Linked DNA regions of Kluyveromyces lactis. The protein of the gene in region 1 interacts with the protein of each later gene in a pairwise test. Links are inferred from orthologs where the notes say so. Each region holds a gene or a part of one and is shown in the gene's direction. Other genes may lie near its edges. The genes, in order: RLF2, SAS2, MSI1 and CAC2.

What was found.
Region 2: the proteins of RLF2 (region 1) and SAS2 interact in binary tests that used the Saccharomyces cerevisiae proteins (3 or more experiments, as listed by UniProt). The link is inferred for Kluyveromyces lactis from reciprocal best matches to the Saccharomyces cerevisiae genes RLF2 and SAS2.
Region 3: the proteins of RLF2 (region 1) and MSI1 interact in binary tests that used the Saccharomyces cerevisiae proteins (3 or more experiments, as listed by UniProt). The link is inferred for Kluyveromyces lactis from reciprocal best matches to the Saccharomyces cerevisiae genes RLF2 and MSI1.
Region 4: the proteins of RLF2 (region 1) and CAC2 interact in a two-hybrid assay, tested with the Saccharomyces cerevisiae proteins (2 studies listed by BioGRID). The link is inferred for Kluyveromyces lactis from reciprocal best matches to the Saccharomyces cerevisiae genes RLF2 and CAC2.

The regions. Positions count from the first base shown.
Region 1 is NC_006040.1:177,374-183,471, forward strand, and holds RLF2 (Rlf2p), read left to right. Parts: upstream 1-1,506; coding exon 1,507-3,315; downstream 3,316-6,098. Other genes in the region: KLLA0_D02068g (uncharacterized protein), read left to right, coding at 1-1,108; RRT8 (Rrt8p), read left to right, coding at 4,109-4,642; serine C-palmitoyltransferase LCB2, read right to left, coding at 4,972-6,098.
Region 2 is NC_006042.1:1,597,462-1,602,825, forward strand, and holds SAS2 (histone acetyltransferase), read left to right. Parts: upstream 1-2,799; coding exon 2,800-3,759; downstream 3,760-5,364. Other genes in the region: ATP-dependent RNA helicase ECM16, read right to left, coding at 1-2,435; DNA helicase RAD5, read right to left, coding at 3,826-5,364. UniProt on the Saccharomyces cerevisiae protein: Histone acetyltransferase (HAT) subunit of the SAS complex, a multiprotein complex that acetylates 'Lys-16' of histone H4 and 'Lys-14' of histone H3. The SAS complex is however unable to acetylate nucleosomal histones.
Region 3 is NC_006041.1:2,091,586-2,097,039, forward strand, and holds MSI1 (Msi1p), read left to right. Parts: upstream 1-3,660; coding exon 3,661-4,914; downstream 4,915-5,454. Other genes in the region: GPI2 (phosphatidylinositol N-acetylglucosaminyltransferase), read right to left, coding at 1-417; KLLA0_E23497g (DUF5315 domain-containing protein), read left to right, coding at 726-1,121; PGI1 (glucose-6-phosphate isomerase), read left to right, coding at 1,658-3,325. UniProt on the Saccharomyces cerevisiae protein: Acts as a component of the histone chaperone complex chromatin assembly factor 1 (CAF-1), which assembles histone octamers onto DNA during replication and repair.
Region 4 is NC_006041.1:981,404-987,189, forward strand, and holds CAC2 (Cac2p), read left to right. Parts: upstream 1-2,265; coding exon 2,266-3,747; downstream 3,748-5,786. Other genes in the region: KLLA0_E11155g (HAD domain phosphoesterase family swiss army knife RNA repair protein), read left to right, coding at 1-1,293; CUE1 (Cue1p), read right to left, coding at 4,119-4,775; SAP30 (Sap30p), read right to left, coding at 5,220-5,720. UniProt on the Saccharomyces cerevisiae protein: Acts as a component of the histone chaperone complex chromatin assembly factor 1 (CAF-1), which assembles histone octamers onto replicating DNA.

The DNA.
Region 1 (6,098 bases):
CAAACCTGATAAATTGAATGAAAATGTCTGTTTGGATCGCAGAGCAGAAGTTTTGGTTAATACGGAAAATGAAATGCCAACAGAAATTGTCAGTAAGATAAAGAACGAAAACTTCCATTTGCAATTGGAATTGGAACAGAAGAACCATGAGATTTCCAAATTAAAGTCAATGCTCTTACCTAAACTGACACCACCTGCAATTGATCTAAGATTAACGACAAGTTTAAAAGACCCTTTGTACTACCATCCGGAAAGCAACAAAATTCCCGGTATGTCTGGGGCTACAGTGACAAATTCAGATTACGTGTCCCATTTCTCATCATCATCATACGATGGGAATAGAAATGACGTTAGAGAGACCTCAACCGTTGCTAGTACTACAATATCAAGAAAGGAAAAAAACCATATGTTGTTCACTAGGAATATTTTACCCTTTATTCGGGATTCCATCAACATGTATAAAAACTCCCATGTTTTAAATGAAGAAGTGGTCCCGATAGAAAAAGAGCTCGATAAGTTTTATGATAACTCCTTGAAGAAGGACGAAAAATGTGAAGTATTTTCTAATGTACTCTTAGGGTTACTCAGGGTACAGAGATTAAATATAGCGGCGTTGAACAGAGAATTAGAGTTGAAAACAGTGGAGAGAAAAATGGATTACTTGGCAACATTGTTTTTGGATCCACAAGAGTATGAAATACCACGTCATAGCTCCATGAAACGAATCAGAGATCAGATGTTGGATGTGATTATTTCTCTATATGGAGAATTACCAAATCCTAACCAAAGGGCAGCAAGAGAAATGAAATATCAGCAGCCACAACAGGTTCCTTTGAAGATAAAATCAGATTCAAAACTGAACCGACAGTCTCATAATCCTGAAATACTACCTATTGGTTATTCAAACTCATCTTCAAAACCAGCAAGGTCGGCAAAGAAACGCATGAGAAATATCAAATTGACACCATTCAAGACAGCTTCACAGGAAGACATGGATGCCGATGATGATCTGGACGTAGACCTCTCAGATCCCTTACAACTACTTTTGGCTGAACGTATAACTGGAACTGATTTGGAAAACACAACGTCACTGACTAATTCGTTGTGACGCTAGCTTTTCCGCTATAATAAGCAACATCAATACCCTTATACAAAACAACTCATCTAGTTCCAAACCTTTATTATATAAATCTCTAAAAATCCTAAGCCTGGGATGTTAACCCGTATCATTAAAATACTGTATAAACTTATCTCTTAGTCGCATCATCTGTATTATGTCCTGTGACACAATTATCACAACAATGTTACCCTACTGACACGAAAGTGAAATATGTAAAGAATTCCATTTAGCGTTTTGACGCATCACTAGAGAAGTTATACAGATCACCATTCAATGACAAGACGCTGAGGCTCTACAAACCGCCTCAATAGGAGCCTGGCATAAGCTGCTGAACACATATACCTTTGATAATCTTGTCATCTTTGCAATACGTCGGTAGCCCAACCATGAGTGAAATGAAACCATCAGTATCGAACCAGAAGAGACGGGGCATTCTCTCATTCTTTCAGAACACTGGGAAAGTTGACAAGGCTACTACTGTCAATGCTATTAGCCAGGATTCTGCTATCGAAATTGATATAGAATCTGATACTTTAGAACCACTAAACTCTTCAGAACCGGAGGAAGGAGAAAAAGACGAGGAAATGGACTCTCAAAAAAGTGATACTGCTACATTAGATGCAGCAGATAGTCAACAAGAAACAGAGAAGACAGGCGGTGCAGAAGACAATGACTCTGCATCCACGATGGCAAACAAGAAAGCAGAGCGAGAACTTAGGAGACAAAAAGAGAAGCAAGCTAAGTCGAAAAGGAAAGAAGAAGAAAGATTGGAACGTGAAAGGAAGAAGCTTGAAGAGAAGCAGAAGCGTGACAGACAGAAACAAGAGCGCGAGCTTAAGAAACAACAAGAAAAGGAAGAGCGCGAGCGAAAGCGGCTTCAAGAAAAGGAAGACCGTGAGAAGAAAAGGCAGCAGGAGAAAGAAGAACGTGAAAAGAAGAGATTAGAAGAAAAGGAGATGAAAGAACAAGAGAGACTAAAGAAAGAGGAAGAACGCCTGAAGAAAGAGGAAGAAAAACGTAAAAAGGAGGAGACTAAAGAGAGATCTCAGTCCCGAATCGGGAACTTTTTCAAAAAAGCTACAGTATCTTCTTCTGAGCAATCAGTTACAAGTGATTTCAAGAAGCATTTCTTACCCTTTTATATCAAGTCAGACGTTATCATGGCCAATACTTGGAAAATGGACCCTCAGAAGCTTAAAGAAAATGTACCACGTATAGATAAACTGATGAAGACAGAAGACCGCATATCAAGCGTAGAGTGGATGAACTCTTTCAAATGCCACCACGGTTACGAAATAAAGCTCACGGCAGTAGAAGTTCTGCAAACCATGACTTCGAAGAAGAAGACGGACGAAGAATTATCAGCGTTACTTAACGAAGTACCACAAAAATTCATCAAGTTCTATGAAAATGTAAGGCCTCCGTATGTGGGGACGTATTCCAAGAAATTGACATTACCAAACAATAATCCTTTCAGTACTGAGGGAACAGGATTCGATTATGGATATGATTCTGATCTCGATTGGGTTAATGAAGAGGAAGAAGAAGGCGGTGTCGACGATTTAGAAAATGATGAAGATGAAGAGGATGAGGATCAAGAGGATGAAGAGGGAGGCGACAATGAAATGGATGGCTTCCTAGATAAAGATGAAAATGAAAATATGGCACGTAAGAAGTTTGTCGGTCCCTTGATACCGACAATAAAACTGCGAAAGGATACGGATAAACTCGATGACGAGTCTAAACAGTATTTTGCATTGGTCTCCGTAGAATGTATGTTCCAAGATCAATGTTTCCCCGTAGATCCATATAAGGCTCCCAACAAGAGACCTGCTGTGGAGGACGGTTCATTTGAAACAACTTCTTCGAAAAACCCAGCAACTAAGAAATCCAAAAGTCTAATCACAGAACCTAAACATCTTTTGCAGTTGCTGGAACAAGTGCATGACTGTACATTTTCGTTGAGCACCGTTGTTGAGATTATCCAAAAGCATCTACCACAGTATAAGAAGGATACGATAAAGAACTCTGTTAAAGAATATGCTGCAAAATCTACCAAGGGAGACCGTAGGTGGGAAGTAAAGGATATGAACAATTGGGAACATCTAAAGAGCTCTCCGACACCAAGATTATCCACTCCAGAGGTACCGACAGCCAATGACGAAGCGCTACTGACCGGTATTCCTTTAAGTTAGTCGTAAGTAAATAGTATAACATCAGCGTACAATTGTTATGGGGTGCTTTTATTCCAACACAACTATATCACACATCTACACAAACCTTCGATGTCTCAGTCTAAAAGAGACGTCTATTTTTTAATACTAGATATCTTATGTCTGCTGTTATACTGGTTTCTTATAATTACCAAGAAGTGTCAGATTTAAAAGATTTGTGTCGCAATCAAAACAGTCTTTTTATTCTTCCCATTAAGAACAACCAAAACAAAGAGCAACACTCTCAAAGCGTTATATCTGATATACCATGGATCCGGTCTATTTACAAGACTACCCAGATTATACTAGACCCAATAGAGGAAGAGATCCGAATTCCTACAATACCGTTCGAGATATTGATTCAATATGGAAGGAAACATATAATTTGACCGTGGGATTTTTATTTGAATTATATGCAACTGTCATCTGGAGAGTTGACAGCATCAGAACCAACTTTTTTCATGATTTCTTCCAGACGAAGTCCATATGGTATCCTTTCCTTGTATGTACCTATGACTCAAACCGCTGTTTCAATCATGATATTAGCTGGTCATGTTGACAATTAAAAAAGCATACTAACAAAGCCAATTAATAGGGAGTCTTTCAATTTTTAATATGTTATAGATACTGGTATTACGGGCTTGTTACAAGTGTCTGTTACCTGATCTTATTTTTCGCTTTGTTGTGGTTGTATGCTGCGTTTCTTCTACCGATTTTGGCCGGTTGGCAGATTTTATTGCTAGGTCCAGTAGGTCTTGCAATTGCCGTGTTACAGATGCTATTGCAATGTAATGCATGGACGTTGAGAGGTGTTCGGAATTTTGTGTTACCCAAGTTCACCAATGATATATTCGAATTGACTCTATTAAGGAAAGGGCAGATAGAGACGCTAAATTCTTTAAAGAGACGACAGCTTCCTGCCTGTCCTGAATTGCATTTGAACAATATAGAATTTTGGATCCATGATGTGCCATTCAACACCTTTTCGTTTTTAAGGTGGTTATTTGTTTTCATATTCATAACTTTAATATCTTTACTTCCAATCGTTGGCCCATTGGCCGCTACTATATTGCAAACACCAGACAGAGCGTATGGGTACTACGATGTATGGATGATCAGAAGAAGATTAAGTGACAAAGCTAAACGTGACGAATATTACTCCAGATTAGGCCAACTATGGGCGTTTGGATTGACAGCGGGACTACTTGAATTGATACCTGGTTTTTCGGCTCTTCTGATGATAAGTAATGTCATTGCCGTTGGTGTTTGGGCTAATGATGACATAAAGCTTAAAAGGGTTCAGTTATAAAACCACCCCTCAATAGATCGAATAAGATAGCTTGAGAAGTTCTTTTACATACTATGTGTGTTTAAAATTGAAATCTTTATGTTTGAGTGTATATGATGGTTATGAATAATTATAGTTACTGTGATCTTGTGATGAGTATGTCCTTGGACGTATAAAGACGGCTGCCGACCGATAAGAATAGCGAATTAGGACCACGAATGCTAGGAAGATCATCATATAAAAACAGATGTCTGAATGACGGACAGGTTTGATTAATTGTGAGGTAAACTGGTGAAAATACTATCAATAGGTCAACAAAAATAAAAGACCTGAATACCGGACGAAGTTAATCATATTCTGAAGAAGCTATCGTCCTTACAGTCAGTAGGTGTTCTCTTAATGACTTCATCAATATTCCACCTTGGAGGTTTGCCATCTAATGACCCGCCTGCTTTTCCACTGGACACTTTTAAGAAGAGCTTATCTCCAACCTCATTGATATGCTGTAATAAATAATCGATATCTTCTTTTGTTAGAGCCGCAGATACACAGAAGCGGACTCTCGACTCGATCAATGGGGTGGCTGGGTATGCGACAACAACCACTGCAATTTTCCGTTGCAGCATCATTCGGGAGAATGCAGGCATTTTACTTGGTGCGTATAATAGCATAGGAATGACCGGAGAATCGGCAATACCGTAAACAATGAAGCCTAACCTTTGAAGCGCAAGTCGTAGATAACGAGCGTTGAATGCAATACGTTGTAATCTTTCTTGACCTTCGCCAGGGTTGATGTCTCCCGTAATGGTCTTTAAAGATGAAGCGATTTGGGCCAACACAGGAGCCGGAGTAGGCTCTCCATAGTGAGGTGTTGTTAAATCCAATCTAAATCTGTCGATGATCCATTTGTCAGCAGCAATGTATCCACCAGCGGCACCAAAAGATTTCGTAAGTGTGCCCATCATAATATCAATATCACTACAAGGTATCCCAAAGAAATCGCATACACCACGTCCAGATGGACCCATTGCACCGATAGAGTGAGCCTCATCAACGAAAAGGTAGCATTTATATTTTTTCTTCAATTCAACAAGCTTAGGCAAGTTAGCCATGGTACCCTCCATGGAGTATAAACCTTCCACACAAATGATAATTTTTTTCCAAGGACGATGAGTCTTCGATTGACCTTGAACAATTTGTTCACGGATCAACTTCTCTAATGCGCGCATATCATTATGCTTGAATGTCTTAACAGCTGCTCCTGATAAACGGACACCAGTTCTAATAGAGGTATGATTTAAAGAATCAGAGATAACCAAACATTTGCTATCTAAGAACGAATTGAAGAAATTAGCATTGGTACCGTACCCCATAGAGAACAAAATTGCATCTTCTTTACCTACGAATTGTGCGACGTATTTTTCGGTCATGACGTGCAAATCAGTAGTACCAATTCTGGTCCTTGGACCACCAGAAT
Region 2 (5,364 bases), on another chromosome or scaffold:
ATCCAGTCAATTTCGAAACTCTGAACACCATTATTTTCATCAAACTTTCTTTCCTTTGATCTACCACAATCAACGACGTATCTTACTCCCGGTATGGTCAATGATGTTTCTGCCACATTAGTAGCAACAACACATAATCTGGAGTTTGGTGGGGGATCAAGGAAGACCTTCATTTGCTCTTTGGTGGGCAATAGCGAGTAAAGAGGAAGAACATATAGTGGATCTCTATCCGTCTGACCTTCTTCAAGTGTTTCTTCAAAACCTTCTTCTTCGTCCTCTTCTTTGTCCTCAATATCTTCCTCATCAGAGAGTAAACAATCGTCAAATTCTTGTTCCTCTCTAACTCTGACACTGAAGTCGATATCTTCAGCTTCTACATCTGCAGTTTTGGCATCTATTTTCACTGTAGGTATGTGGTCATTTTGAATGAGAGTTTGATGTTTCTTGGGGAAAGGAAACTCTTTTCTTAACCTTTTTACCATGTGCGTGATCTCTTGCTGTCCTGTCATAAAAACCAAGATAGCACCAGGAGGCAACCTTTGATGTATTTTACACGTCTTCCTGAAAGCCTCTTCAGCATAGTTATAAGCTGTTCTACGATTGAAATGTACAGCCACTGGATACTGCCTGGCGTCGACCTTTAAGACAGGTGGAGAAACAGGGAATAAAGTAGGGTTTTCACTAAAATCTGATACTCTCAAGGTGGCAGACATGATAATTAGTTTAAGTTTTTTGTACTTAGCCGGATCAGTTGCATGCTCCTTAGCACGTAAGCTGACACAACGACTTAACATACCAATCAAAATATCTGTATTGATGTTCCTCTCGTGAGCTTCATCGATAATGATAGAAGAGTATTTAGAAAGTCTAAAATCGTTCATCATCTCTCTTAGCAAAACACCATCAGTCATAAATTTCATTCTTGTTTTATCCTTGGTAGAAGAATCGAACCGAATTTGGTATCCTACATATTCGCCATGATCACCCATCTCATTAGTAACACGTCCAGCCATAGAGACAGCGGCCACTCTTCTAGGTTGTGTTATTCCAATCATCCCAGGCGTGTCAGTTGAGGACGAATTACCATATCCTGCCTCGTAAAGAAACTGCGGTACCTGTGTCGTTTTACCTGAACCAGTTTCACCACAAATGATTACAACGTCATTATGATGGATAGCTTCCATAATTCTATGTTCCTCGGCGAAAACAGGTAGTGCGCTTCTCACAGCTTGAACAGCATCAGATCTCCGTACCTTGACATAAAAAGCCTTACGTGTTGAATTTTCGTTCACATTAAATTCATCTGCTTTGAGTCCATCTTCAAAGTCTTCAGGTCTCTCGGTCCTATCGACCTTGATGTTGGAGGAAGGCATAACCATTTCTACATCTCTACCTTCAAGCTTTTTAATTTCCTGATTTGCCCACTCTTTAAATTCTTGGGCAACTGAAGAACTTACGTTTCTGCACTGCGCTATTTCTGAATCCGATCTTTCCTCGCCGTCAGACTCACTCGACTCATCATCGCTGTGACTATCAGCATTACTATTAGATTCACTCTCATCAGGTTCACTTTCTGCAGTGGATGAATGTTCTTCTGATTCACTTTCGTCAGATTCAAAATCCTGATCATCATCCAGTTTACGCCTTCTACGTTCTTCTTGCTCTACCTTTTGCTTCCAGTTATACCTTTTCTTCGAGGCCCTTTTATTCACCACCTTTGCATTACCGAATCCAAAACCAAAACCTGACCCACCAAATTTACTGGGTCTATTATCAATAAATCCCCCAGTATTTGCCGAAATAGGGTGATCTGAACTGGTATGGTCCGTTTCATCACTATCCGAATTGCAATTTTCAGCTGTGCTTTCCTGACTGGGCCTAGTTTCTGGATGATCTTGATACCAATCCCTTACCTCAGTTTCATCGTAAAGAATTTCCCTGGTAGTTTCATCACCACGTCCATTTCTTTCTAATTTGAGGGCTTCTTCAATCCCTTGCCTCTTAGTTTGCCTTCCTTGTCCCAAAATCTTAGAACTTGTCAAAAGCTTAGTATCAATTTTATAGTCCTGAAGTTTTTCTATCAAAACTTTTTTCTCCTCTCTTTTCAATTGATGCTCGATGAACTTCTCTAACCTTTTTTTCTTCGTCCTAGAGACCTTCGTTTCCTTAGGTGTGAATAGCTCTTCCAATTTACGCTTTTTCTCTTGTTTCTCTTCCTCCGTCATGGGTTTCAATACAGCAGCGTTCGTATCTTCCTGATGATCGGGTGATTCATGATGTTCATCTTCAGATGAATTACCTTCTTCAGAATCAGCATCGGAAGAATTTTCAAGTGCACGGGTGAACTGCCTATTCCTTACTCTCTTCAACTCCTTCAACTTAGACATCTGACCCGCGCGTGCTTTCTCATTCCAGCGCTTCCTATAGGTACCCATGTTTGTTGTTCAATTTTTTGACCGTTTAACGTGCGAGGTACTTCTCTTGACTGTTAATGTCACAGAGGCCTATAACATTCAGACTACCAGCCTGTTATCAACGAGATTTTGATATATAGATGCAGGTGAGCTTGGATGCGATGAGATGCGATGAGCTTTAAAGCTTTTTCTGCCATAAAGGAAGATGAAAAAAAAAAAAAGAAAGTCGCTTTCAACGTTTTGATAATTCAAAGATATAGGCAATCTTTTGTACATTTAAGTTCAAAGAGCAGTTGATTCCACCGTTAATTGGGTTTTCAAGTACTCATTAAATTTGGGAAACGTGATAAATCGCATTTTTTGCCTCTTTTCAAATCATTAATGAATGGTTCCCAAACCTGATAAGCACAACAGCTCAACAGAGGATGAAGAAATATATGGTATTCTTGACAAGCCTAATATTAGGCACGTCCAATTTGGCTTGAATAAAAGATTTGCAACTTGGTACGGGAGTAATGTTTATTTTGGAAGAAATAAGAGGACCTTGGGCTTCAAGGAATCGAACAATGAGCACACCGCAAAACAAAGCCCTACTGAAAAGAAGTTTGAAGATCAGTATTGGATTGATACCCTATACGTATGTGAATATTGTTTCAAGTACACTGATGATGAAGCAGAGTTAATCGCACATGAGTGCTTTTGCCGATATAAGAATAAGCCACCCGGTAGAATAAAATACAGAAGCCCCGAATACACTATACGAAGGGTAAAAGGTTCTAAGCATGAAGTTTTCTGCCAATGCTTATGTCTATTTACTAAGCTATTTCTTGATAACAAGTCTGTCTACTTCAAAGTTAAGCATTTCGAATTCTATATTGTGTATGAGAACAATTCTACAGTACCGATGGCATTTTTTTCAAAAGACTTATATTCCTACCACCAAAATAACCTTGCATGTATTCTTGTCTTTCCGCCCTATCAAAGAAGAAGATTGGGTACTCTCTTGATTGAGTTTTCCTACACTTTATCAAGATGTCAGGGTCTGATTTCGGGTCCTGAAGTTCCTCTATCTCCTTTCGGTTTAATTGGCTATCTTAAATTTTGGTCTTTCTCAATAGTTTGGCAGTTGACTGAAGGTAATTTGAAAGATGTGGCCCAGGTCACTTTGAAGGATCTTTCCGAGGCCACTGGTTTTAGAATCAATGATATAATTCAAGCTCTCAAATATCTTGATTGTTTAAGTGATTCTGAAATAAGACTCAATATCATCCGTTCATGGGCAAGACGCAACAAGGTATCCCATGGATTTATGATCAAAGATGAATATCTACTACTTGATGATTAACGAATTAAATAACAGCTTAAATGCAAAGCCCTAAAAGGCTTCTATATGATTGAATGTCATGATAGTCTATTGAAACAACATTTGGATTTCCTCGATCCTCTTCTGTCTCCTTTCTGCCTCATCACCCTCAACAATATCCCCTAACATTCTCTTTCTTTCCTGTATTCTTAACATTTTCTCTTCTACACTATTATCGATAATGAACCGGACAACTTTGACAGTTTGCTGCTGACCAATACGATGTATTCTATCAATCGCTTGATCTTCCATACCTGGAGACCACCATGGGTCCATCATAAACGCTCTTGATGCACAAGTCAAATTTAATCCCACACCTCCAGTTTTCAACGACAAAAGTAATAACTTTATACAACTCAAATCCTTATCGTGGAACTGTTCCAAGATTCTAGTCCGTTCCTTCATATCTAACCGTCCGTCGAATTTGTAAATAATTACCTGATCTCTTGGCAAATGCGAACGTAGCTCTATTTCTAGAATGTCTAGGAATGATGAGAACTGAGAAAATACGATTATTTGTTCACCAGGAGAAGTTTCTTGTATTTGCTTGAGATGCCTCAATAAAGCTTTAATTTTAGTCGATTGGAAATGTGAATGAAACGAAATTAGTTCATATCCTCTTTCAGCATCAATTGGCTCCTTTAGCTTTAACACATTAGCTTCTGAGATCGGCATTCTACAATATGGACAGTTGATGGATAGTTTTTTATTTTGCTGAAATTCAATGTATTCTGCCAAACAAGGTTCACAAAATGTGTGGAGACACTCTGTTATAGAGACCGCAGACAGCGGTTCAATACACTCAGTGGTGCAAATAGCACATTCAAAAGAAGGTAATTGCTCTGAAGCGCTGTGAATATCACGAAAGTTCGCACTTAAAGCATCCAATTTATCTTGAGAAATGGAACTTTTTGGTGACTTAATATTTTTTGGCATGAGGATGGAGGAGATGTTTTGAGTTGAGTTCTCCAGATCTTCAAGATCTGGGTCTCCGAGATCTGGTGTCTTTTTGAGTAAATCCAAATGACAGCAGACTTGTCTAAGTCTTAAAATATGGACCAAGATATTAGTGTAGTTCTTCAATAGATCACCTTTGGCCAACCCTTCTTTAACAGAGTTTTCCGCATCTTCTAACATGGATTGATAAACTCTTTTCTCACTGGATGAAAGTTGCAACTTTTCGACGATTACTTCCTTTGGAGGTAAAGAGACTAAAGGTTTGCCATCAACATCCTTCATATTCTTCGTTCTTCTGAGAAGCACAGGCTCCAATACTGCATTTATGACATCAAATGCCTGCGCATAGTTACCTTTCTCGAAAGGAACTGAAACGTAACGCTTCCAATAGTTGATGTGAGACCAGGGCTCTAAGTTCAAGAACTGAACTAAGGAAAATAGATCGTCAAGTCGATTGATGATTGGTGTTCCTGTCAAGATCCATTTTCTGGAACTCCGCAAGGCTATGACAGCTTTAGATGTCCTTGTACTTCTATTTCTAATCGTATGACCTTCATCCAATATTATTCTAAAGAAGACCACATTGAATAATCCCGATGTTGAGGTTCTCCCATATTCGCTCTGAATTAT
Region 3 (5,454 bases), on another chromosome or scaffold:
GGTTGTGAACCATGCAGATAGAGTCCAGATGGAATCGGACGAAGTTGTCTTGGACAAAGATTTAAGCACTGGAGATAAGGTCAACATTGCAAATATAATGATGATAGTGGATTTCCAGGGTACCCTCTTGTTGGCAACTATTAAGGAAACAGATGAAATTGAGGCAGCAATTAAAATCGGATTGTATTTGTAATGATAGAACCAGGCAAATATAATATAGAGTAACATAGTATTAATAATCATGTGGTAAAACTGGAAGAGATCAAGTAAAACAGACCTGTACGAGGAGTGAGGCCTCAAATGCCCATGTTCAATTTTCAACTTCTCCCATTGTTTGTAGAAACTTGGATCAGTGTAGGTATCTGGGAACGGCTGTTTCAACCACAATAACCGTTTCCATTGTTTCCCCGCAGCCATTAACAACTATAAGAGAAGACAATTTGTTATTCGGGAAACGACTAGCACAATATAGTCACTACAGTCTGGACAAAAGAAACCTGGAGATTTGCCGCTATACTCGCGATAAATCTCTGCGAGTGCAGGAAGTTACTTCAGTTCAACAGTCGTCGCTAGCTTTTTCGAATCATTAAAATTAGAGATTGATACGTAAAAAAGCTAATCCATTACAACTTAATATCACAGCACAGCCAGCGGGAGCACCCGCACAAGTAAGATACAAAGGATATAGCCTAACTTACTGCTCAACTCATTGCTACATATACCCAATGGATCAATCTAGCAGGGAGACATCAAATTCGTTTGATCAGGTAACCAGGCAATCTTCAAACAATGAACGAAGACCTACGGATTCTAAAGCCATACCGAGAACTTTACCCAAGGATACCGTTCCAGACGACGTACATGCTACACCAAAAGTGGATGACAAGGATAGGATATGGACAGATATAGATACACTAGATGATGTGAAAAGAATGGCCAGAGAGGGCAATACTGGCCTTACTTTCCCGGATAATTTCGAAGAGGATATTACCCGCTTACGCCAGATGCATGCGAACTTGATGCAGCACATGAAGAGACAATCAACAGAGACCCCAGGAAATCTTGAAGAACAACAGAAACACATCAATGATATCGTAGATACCATTGAGAGATATAACTGAATAAATACTTCAAATCACGTGATGAATCACGTGCCACAATTACCCTGACTTTTTGTTGAGTATTAGTGGAAGCTAAGGTTTCCAAGGACCACCGGTTTCTTCTACGTGCCTTTCACTATTTGTTTACTGGATGGTGCGAAACAAATAAAAAAAGCGGAAGCTGACAGAAATTACAAGTTGTTCCGAATAACGATGGGATATACGAATTGATGATTGAACGTAGTATGGAAAATAATAGGAACGTTGAGAAAAAAAAGGATTTGGTATTTTCCATCACCTGCGAATTTGAGGGAAATGGTTAACTTAAATCGTGGATTCTTTATATATATATATTCTCTGGTGAAGGTTCTTGATCAATTGCTTCTTCCAATTGGTATTTCGATTGTATTCTTGAGTCACGTAGAAAGGAATTTGTGATTAGGGTTTAATCGCTGAATTCTGAAGTGACCTTTTAACTGACCGTAAAGTACAATAAAAGGTTTTAAAGTTCTGTTAAGATAGATTCTAAAACAGAAATAAAAAGACAAATATCAGAAATGGCTTCTAAGAACACTTACTCTGACTTCAAGTTGGCAACTGAATTGCCAGCCTGGAACCAATTGCAATCTTTGTACGAACAAAAGGGTAAAAAGCTAAATGTTAAGGACGAGTTTGCTAAGGACAATTCTCGTTATGAAAAGTTTGCCAAGACGTTTGTCAATTACGATGGTTCAAAGATCTTGTTTGATTTTTCCAAGAACTTAGTTGACGATGAAATCTTGAAGTCTTTGATCCAATTGGCTAAGGAAGCTAAGGTCACCTCATTGAGAGATGCCATGTTCAACGGTGAACCAATCAACTTCACTGAAGGACGTGCTGTGTACCACGTTGCCTTGAGAAACAGAAGTTTGAAGCCAATGTACGTTGATGGTACCAACGTCACTCCAGAGGTTGACGCTGTGTTGCAACACATGAAGGAGTTCACCGAAGAAGTCAGATCTGGTGCTTGGAAGGGTTACACCGGTAAGTCTATTACCGATGTTGTCAACATTGGTATCGGTGGTTCAGATTTGGGTCCAGTTATGGTGACTGAAGCATTGAAACATTATGCTACCAACTTGAAGGTACACTTTGTTTCTAACATTGACGGTACTCATATTGCTGAAACTTTGAAGGATTTGGACCATGAAACCACTTTGTTCTTGATCGCATCCAAGACTTTCACCACTGCTGAGACTATCACTAACGCAACTAGTGCTAAGAACTGGTTCTTATCTAAGAACGGTGGTGACCAATCCCATATCTCCAAGCATTTTGCTGCTTTGTCCACTAACGCTACTGAAGTTGAAAAGTTCGGTATCGACACAAAGAACATGTTCGGTTTTGAAAACTGGGTCGGTGGTCGTTACTCTGTTTGGTCCGCTATTGGTTTGTCAGTTGCTCTATACATCGGTTTCGACAACTTTGAAGCATTCTTGAAGGGTGCTGAGGCAGTAGACAAGCATTTCGTTGAAACTCCATTGGAAGACAACATTCCATTGTTGGGTGGTCTATTATCTGTTTGGTACAACAACTTCTTCGATGCTCAAACACATTTGGTTGCGCCATTCGATCAATACTTGCACAGATTCCCAGCTTATTTGCAACAATTGTCTATGGAATCCAACGGTAAGTCCGTCACCAGAGGTAATGTTTTTGCAAACTACTCTACTGGTTCTATCTTGTTCGGTGAACCAGCTACCAATGCTCAACATTCTTTCTTCCAATTGATTCACCAAGGTACCAAATTGATTCCATCTGATTTCATCTTGGCAGCCCAATCTCATAACCCAATTGAAAACAACCTACATCAAAAAATGCTAGCATCTAACTTCTTCGCTCAAGCTGAGGCATTGATGGTCGGTAAAGATGAAGAACAGGTCAAATCAGAAGGTGCCACTGGTGGTCTAGTACCTCACAAGGTCTTCTCTGGTAACAGACCAACCACTTCCATCTTGGCTCAAAAGATTACTCCAGCTACCCTTGGTGCTTTGATTGCTTACTACGAACACGTTACATTCACCGAAGGTGCTATCTGGAACATCAACTCATTTGACCAATGGGGTGTTGAATTAGGTAAGGTTTTGGCTAAGGTTATTGGTAGTGAATTGGCCACTGATAACAAGATTTCTTCTCACGACAGTTCCACCAACGGTTTGATCAACCAATTTAAAGAATGGATCTAATGTGAGAATGCGATGCAATTTCCTTTTCACCTAAGATATGCAGTGAACTTAGAATTCCACATCTTTACGTACAACCAAACTAAATAAACTTCTTTATCAAAACGCTATGTGCAATGAATGACTTATATACGACAATGTCACGAATATCAACTACATTGGAAGTAATTGTTTTCACTTAATCAATCTCTTTTTTCATATTTACATTAAGGAAAATGAAAAATGATACACGTCCAAAAGATTCAACAACGCGTGATGTAGTGCGAGAGTACAGACATCGAGATTGTGACAAGATATAACAATACCAAGCTAGCTCATAGCATATAGAGGACGCAACAATGAGTGAGTTGATTATAGAAGAACCTCCAGAACTGGGCTCTGGAATTTCTAATGAAGTACAGCAAAGGTATACCAATTGGAAGAAGAATACAAAGTTGCTCTACGACTATTTGAATACAAACACATCGAAATGGCCATCTCTATCCTGCCAATTCTTCCCAGACCGTACTCTTACGAATGACAAACAAAGGATATTATTATCTTCATTCACATCGCAGCAACTTCCGCAGGATGAGTCAATTTACATCGGGTCCATATCTACCATGAATCATATGAAATGGAGTTCCATCAATAACTTCGACATGGATGAAATGGAATTTAAACTGGATAATTCATTGAAACTGAACGACAAGACATTAGAAGAAGAGGTACGAATAACGTACCCTGACGGTGATTGCAACAGATGTCGGTACATGCCTCAGAACCCCGATATAATTGGGACTGCATCATCAAATGGATCAGTGTACATATTTGATAGAACGAAACATGGTAATAAGATTTCCACAGGCAGGAAATTCGAAATCGAATGCAGAAATAACGGTGACGATGAACAGGACGAGAGTTTATCCCTTGCATGGAATTACCAATTGGAGGGTACCTTAGCTACATGTCAAAGTAACGGGAAAGTAAAAGTATGGGATCTTACTAAATTTGATAAGTCGAAACAGAGAATGGAAATACCTGAAAGAGAGAGTGTGATGGACGCGAATGGAGTCAATGATGTGTCATGGATGGTAAACCACACTTCCATTTTAGCATCATGCGGAGAATCCAACGTCATTGGACTGATAGACATAAGACAAGATACGAAAATGGACACATTACACCGTACTACACATACAGATGGAATCAATGCCATCGAGTTTAACTATAAGAACGATATGATATTGTGTACCGGTGATTCTCAGGGCCAGTTAAAGATCTGGGACATAAGAGATTTCAAGGAGCCAATAAAGGAATGGGAACATGGAGATCAGGATCCCATCTCTGCCATTCAATGGAACCCTCAGATACCGCAAATACTGGCCACTGCAGATCAACAGAGTGGATTAGTGAAGATATGGGATGCATCAGGTGAACAAGAGGACTCTAACGCTGAAAACAACATGCTATTATTTGTCCATGGTGGTCACATGCTCGGAGTCAACGACATTTCATGGTCACAACATGATCCATGGACCATGTGCAGTGTATCGAACGACAATTCAATTCATATCTGGAAGCCAGCAGCAAACTTAGTAGAACAATTGTAGATTAAACTGGAACATGTCGTCGATATATACATGTATCGGTATTGTTTATTCGCATATAATAAATGTGTCGCACGACACAAGAAACACGTTACTCTTCCTTGAATTCCTTTCACGTGACCTATAACCAATCATAGCACTGAACATGGACCAAATCACCGGGTACGAGATGCCACTCTTTACAACTCTCTACAACTCTCTACAACTCTTCTATGCAAACAGGTATACAAAGGATATGCCAATCTACCATGTTTCAACTCTATACTAGTTGCACAAGATACGCCATCAGCAACTGTTGTATGTTTTATAGTTGTATACTACTTTATGCCAATACTTTCCACTACGTATAGCCCATTTTTTATTTTCCAGCAGCCAGGCCAATTCGAGGGAAAACAAAATTTTCTCTTTCAACTTTTGGCGAAACTTTTAGGATTTGGAAATACCTACACTTTTCACACATCGAAATCCAATTAACTGACCTTTAATTAGTTAGAAGTTATAGACATACGTTTGTGTTATTCTTGAATTGTAGTTCATTTTGAG
Region 4 (5,786 bases), on another chromosome or scaffold:
GTTTTATTCGAGTGGAATAGTGTTGATTCTGCTTTACACGTTCCGGCGTTACCACGCGGTGGGATTCACAAAATATGCATCTACGATTTCGATAATACGCTATTTAAATCACCAGCACCAAACCCACACTTGTATTCAGCAGAGTTATATTCGTCACTGTTGAGCCCGCATGTGTTCAGTAACGGTGGATGGTGGTCAGAGCCAAGGTTCTTGGAGATTTTGGTTGACGAATGGATAAAGGGTTCTGTCGATGACTCAGCATTTTGGAATAAAGACATCGTAGACTCCGCTAGAAGGTCCTGGGACGATAGGGATAACGGTACGTTGACGATACTAATGACAGGAAGAAAGCAGCTGTTGTTCAGCCCTCTTTTTGAAAAGTTACTAAAACATCCCGTGTTCGGCCGGGAATTATTGTTCCATTCTGCTTTCCTTAAGAGAGCTGGTTACCCAACCACGATGAAGTATAAGATCGCATGCCTGCGTTCTGTGATGGATTTCTACAAGGAAGTGAATGAGATTGTGATATATGATGATAGGAAACAGCAACTTGAAGGGTTCGAACTTTTCTTTGAGGACTACAAGAGGGAAACTTCTCGTAATTTCAATCATACATTAATTGCGGTAAAACCGGTGATAAATTATTTACCTCCAGGAAAGGAGATTGGTACCGTTGCAAAGATATTTAACGAACACAACAAGGATGTTCGTTCGAAGTTGGAAGGTCTTGAAATGGTTCATGGCCCAATTTGTTCATTAGGGTTCCAAATGGACAATCTTACCTTGGATGAAGATTCGAATACCGTTCGGTATTTGCTGGATTGCCGAGAAACACACAAGATCCGTCAACTGGTTACTCAAATGTCGCAAGACACCAATCAAGCGTATCCGTTCTCACTTCCGATCATAGTACCATTAGGTTCGTTACCTGGGTCCCAAGTGGAAATGTTCCAAAATCACAACTCCGTGACACCAGAAGCGTCTACAGAAGATTTTAGGAAACTGATTGGTGATGCTACATGCTTCTGTCCCAACAAAGTCATAGACTGGTCCATCCGTGAAGCAATCTCTTTGGAATCATCAAGATTGGCATTTTCCGTCGGCTCGACCCAACAACCGGGAACCCATATATTGTTCACTTCGGACTACTCAGATGAAGATATGCAAAGTGTGATGGACCACATCAACAACAGGGGGTCTCTTGCTGAAATAAACCACTCACTACCCAGTTTCTCAGCAATAGCTATTCCAAAATACCATTATCTGGCAAAGACAGCATGCGACGTTGAATAAGTACTAGAAACAAGACGTCAGACACTAGATCTGGTTAACGACAAGGACAAAAAGAACAAGAACATACATACAAACATAAACCCAAGGCTATAATAAATAATTTTAAACTAAATATAAAATTGTGGGGAACTTCATTTGTATTCCAATCCAAAGGGTATAGAACTGGTTCTCACGAACAGATCTATCATAAATTGAAATAATTGTAAACAAAGACTCCAAGAGGATGTTCCTTGTATTTCAAAGGACCCTCAGATGCACATTTCATTGGTGCACACCCGAAGTACCACACCTCTCCAGTTAGCAGTTCATTTAAGCACAATAACGGCTCCAGTAGTCTATTGAAAGAAAAGTTTACTGGGAATTTGACTGATGCGCTGAGTAAAATTCTCCTGAATCTCAACGCATTGGTATCTGCTGATACCACTACAAACTTCCCAAGTATAAAATGTTGCAATAGATGCAACAGTTGATCTGATCTGATCTGTGAGTACAGTTTCAGACAGCTCGAGCCTGAGTTATGACTAAAGTAATGGTGACAGATCTGAAAATTTTTTCAAACTGACTGAATTTATATTGAAAAAAACTGTTATTTCAGTCTACTATAGGGCTATTATATTGAAAAAAAGAGAAAAGACAGGCGGAAGGGGGTTGTATGTCGTGTTCACTACCTTTATTCAGTGTTGGAATATTTCTAATGGCATAAGGTTCCCATCATGCAATGTATATATTCATTTAAATATCCAATTTGCTGCTGTATCGCTGATATTCTTTCCTTAAGAAATCGAATTCCTCAGTAAAAGACGATACACGTAAACAATCTGGAAAAAAAAAGAATATCAGGCATTGAAGGGAAAGGTAACGTTGATCTAAAGAGTTATAACGAAATTTGTTAACGCACTAGTAGAGTAATTCTGAGCTCATAAGATAGGACTAGTTCAATTTATCTCAGTTCGAGTAGAGAAAGTGGAAAAAATGGTACAATCCGAGAGTTTACAGATATATTGGCATGACTCTCATCCGATATACTCGTTATGTTTTCAACCCTTATCAGAGACTAACCAGAACACTAGACGGTTGTTCACTTCGGGAGGTGACAATAAAATCAGGGTCTGGCAATTGAATGAGAGCGAAAATGATGGGAAGATAGAGACAATTGATTTTCTTTCGTCGTTGACGCAGCACGAACAAGCTGTCAACGTTTGTCGATTCAATAAGCAAGGTGACACGTTAGCCACGGCGGGAGACGATGGGTTATTGTTACTATGGAAGAAGAACGAGACTATGGTAAAGGAATTTGGTGTAGATGATGATGAATTCCAAGATTTTAAGGAATCGTGGGCTGTATGGAAGCGATTAAGGTCAGGGTCAGCCTCGAATGCCGAGATTTATGATATTTCATGGAACCCTCAGGGAACGTGCATAGCTATTGCATCTTTGGATAACACCGTACGAGTGTTCAATGTGGATCAGGGAAAAGTGGTAGGACATATAACGGAGCATAATCATTACGTGCAAGGGATTGTATGGGACCCTCAGGGAGAATTTATCGTATCGCAATCTGCAGACAGATCATTGGCGATTTGTAAGATGATTTATGAGGACAACGAAGTAAAGGGCTTACAATTAGTGAATAAAATATTAAAATCAGAACTACCAAGGAGGAAAAATCCTGGTGAAAAAGAACTCGATTTTGATAAGTCGAAGGTGACTTTCTTATTCCATAACGAAACCCTTCCGTCATTTTTCAGAAGGCTGTCCATGTCACCATGCGGCAGTCTCTTATGTGTACCAGCTGGGGTCTTCAGAAATGATGAACAAACGGATGCCTCAAATAATAACCCAGAGTACGCGAATGCCGTATATATTTACACAAGGGCTTCTCTAACTTCAAATTCAAACAAACCCGTGTTTTCACTACCCTTTCTACAAAAACCGGCATTAGTGGTCAAGTTTAATCCTATCATGTACGAAACCGCGTCTGAATGGGTGAAAGCACCTTATACACTGGTATTCGCTGTAGCAACTACGAATGAAGTGCTGGTGTACGACACACAAAATACCAGTCCTATAGCGATCGCAGGAAATTTGCATTATACCCCCATAACAGATCTTGCGTGGAGCCAAGACGGAACATTACTAATGATATCAAGCACAGACGGGTTCTGCTCATATATTCACTTCACAGACAATGATTTTGGCACACCTTTGAAAGATCAATCTATACCAATCTTGACGAAGGAACTCGAATCACAATCGCAATCACAATCACAACCAGAATCATCACAAAAGGCTAGTATCGTAAATCTTAGTACCGGTGCCGCCGAAACTCCAAACCCTTCACCAGCTAAAAGATCGATCTCGCAGCTTGTCTCAGAAGCTGCAACCACAGTTGGAAAGGAGAAGCTCAAACGCAGGGTTCAACCTACTCTCGTCACATCAGATCAACCTAAATAGAACTAGATTAGTTTATAGAGAGGGAGATGGCGGAATAACACGTGACTTTGAACTGTTCTCTACGCAATAATTACTGTGTATAGTAGTAAGTAATAATCGCCGAGTTAAGATTCGAGACACCAGCCGATTGCCTTATTGCCAAGCCCGTGACAAGAATCAGGGTGTTGGCAGTTCTAGGAGGTAGAAACAGAAAGGTCTGGGAAACAATATAGAAACAAAATAGGAAATGCAAAAAAATGGTTAGTCACGTGATCAACATTTCTCTCTGGAAAGACATCTAGCTGTAAAGGACACACTCTAGCATGTAATTGAGAATGGATTTCATTTACTGGTATATGTACGATTTATAGATATCTACACAATTGTACCTATCATTTCAGTAGAGACTGTAGGTATTCACTGTTTTCCACCTTTAGTTCCATACTCTTTCTTGCCTGCCATACCATTAATCTCTTTCTTTCTTCTATGGAAAGATCGTTGGGATTCAAGTTTGAAAGATCTTCTTGTGGATCCACGTTGAATTTTTTTAGCAGATTGTCAGCTTTAATGTTGGATCTTTTCCGTGGATCTGTAGATGTGCTATTGTTGTTTGTATTGTTTCCTGTAGTTACAGAGCTTCCGGTCGATTGATTTTGACCATTGGAAGAATTGCCACCTGTTTCAGATTCTGGGACGTAATCTGGTGGGAATGGCATATCTCTACCCGAGAGATATCTTTCTACAGTAGTTTCAACTGATCCGGTTTGTTCCAAGTCGTATCTGATCTGTTCTGGATGTAGATGTGGAGCCAAGGATTGTACCACTTCGATCATATCATCGTTGACTCTACGACGAATACGCCTTCTAGTCTGTCTTGAAGCGGCATTACTTGACGCGGCGGTACCTGAAGCCGTGGCAGAGTCTGATTGCGAAGAAAAACCATTGATTTGGATGGATGGATGTTGTTCGTTATTGCTCAAAAACCATTTCACAGCAATATAACCGGCAATAGCCAAAATGATAAATAATGTGAAACTTTGATCCGCCATGATTAAAGTTTTAATTCAGATACTCTATCTAACACAATAATTTCTGTCTGCTCTCAATATATTGCTGTGATATTAATTATTCTGGAGACAGGAAAACACAGTATGCCTGGTTATGGAGCAAATACTTGTCTTGTTACAGTTTTTACTTGTGAATGATAATTAATATCATTCATTTCTTATTAAAGAGAAAAATTGTGTAAACGACCTGTAAAGGAAAAAAATGTTAAAGAGCAGAAGGACGTGTGTACAGCTTGCTGTGCAATCTGTCCTTTTCACTGCAGTGCATATAATCAGCGTATAGAACGCTAGTTCCAAATAGATTTCCGTTGATATCCTTGATTATTACGTTCTATATTATTCATATATGTTACAAATAGATGAAGCCATTAGGCTGATGTCGAATTACATGCCCAAGATGGAAGTGAGCTATGCAACACCACCGCTTCATCCCTTAAACTCCATTCTGAACTTCTTTTTCTGATTTTGTACTTTGTAAATAAACTGAGGAAGGCATTCCGCTTCTCGAACGGTATAGTTATCGAAGTGTTCCCTGACACCTTTCGCAAGCTCCTGCTTCGTAACCCTTGCATCTGGTACATTTTTCTGGTTTCGTTTCGCCGAGTAAGTATGTTTCCCAATCCTTGATCCTAGAAGGTACCCTTGTATTGATAGATTATCTGGAGATTTCAATTGGAACCTATCCTTATACCGCCTTAAAAATTCATCGGAGTATTGTTCGAAATCCATCGGATTTGGGAGCGGCTCATTCTTCGGATGATTGTTATGTATATGTTTCTTGTTCAAGTCCTTCAAGTATTGCTGTTGAGCACTCGAGAGTCTTTGTTTCACACTGGTCCTGGTCGATGCACCTGAAGTTGCATTGTTCGATGATTTGCCCTTAGATTCGGACTCTGAATTTGAGTTATTGTGTCCCCTTGGTGCCATGTCGTGTAAGATCCTTGTGACTGTACAGCACCCACTCTATTTGACACCTGAGATGGTATGGAGCAG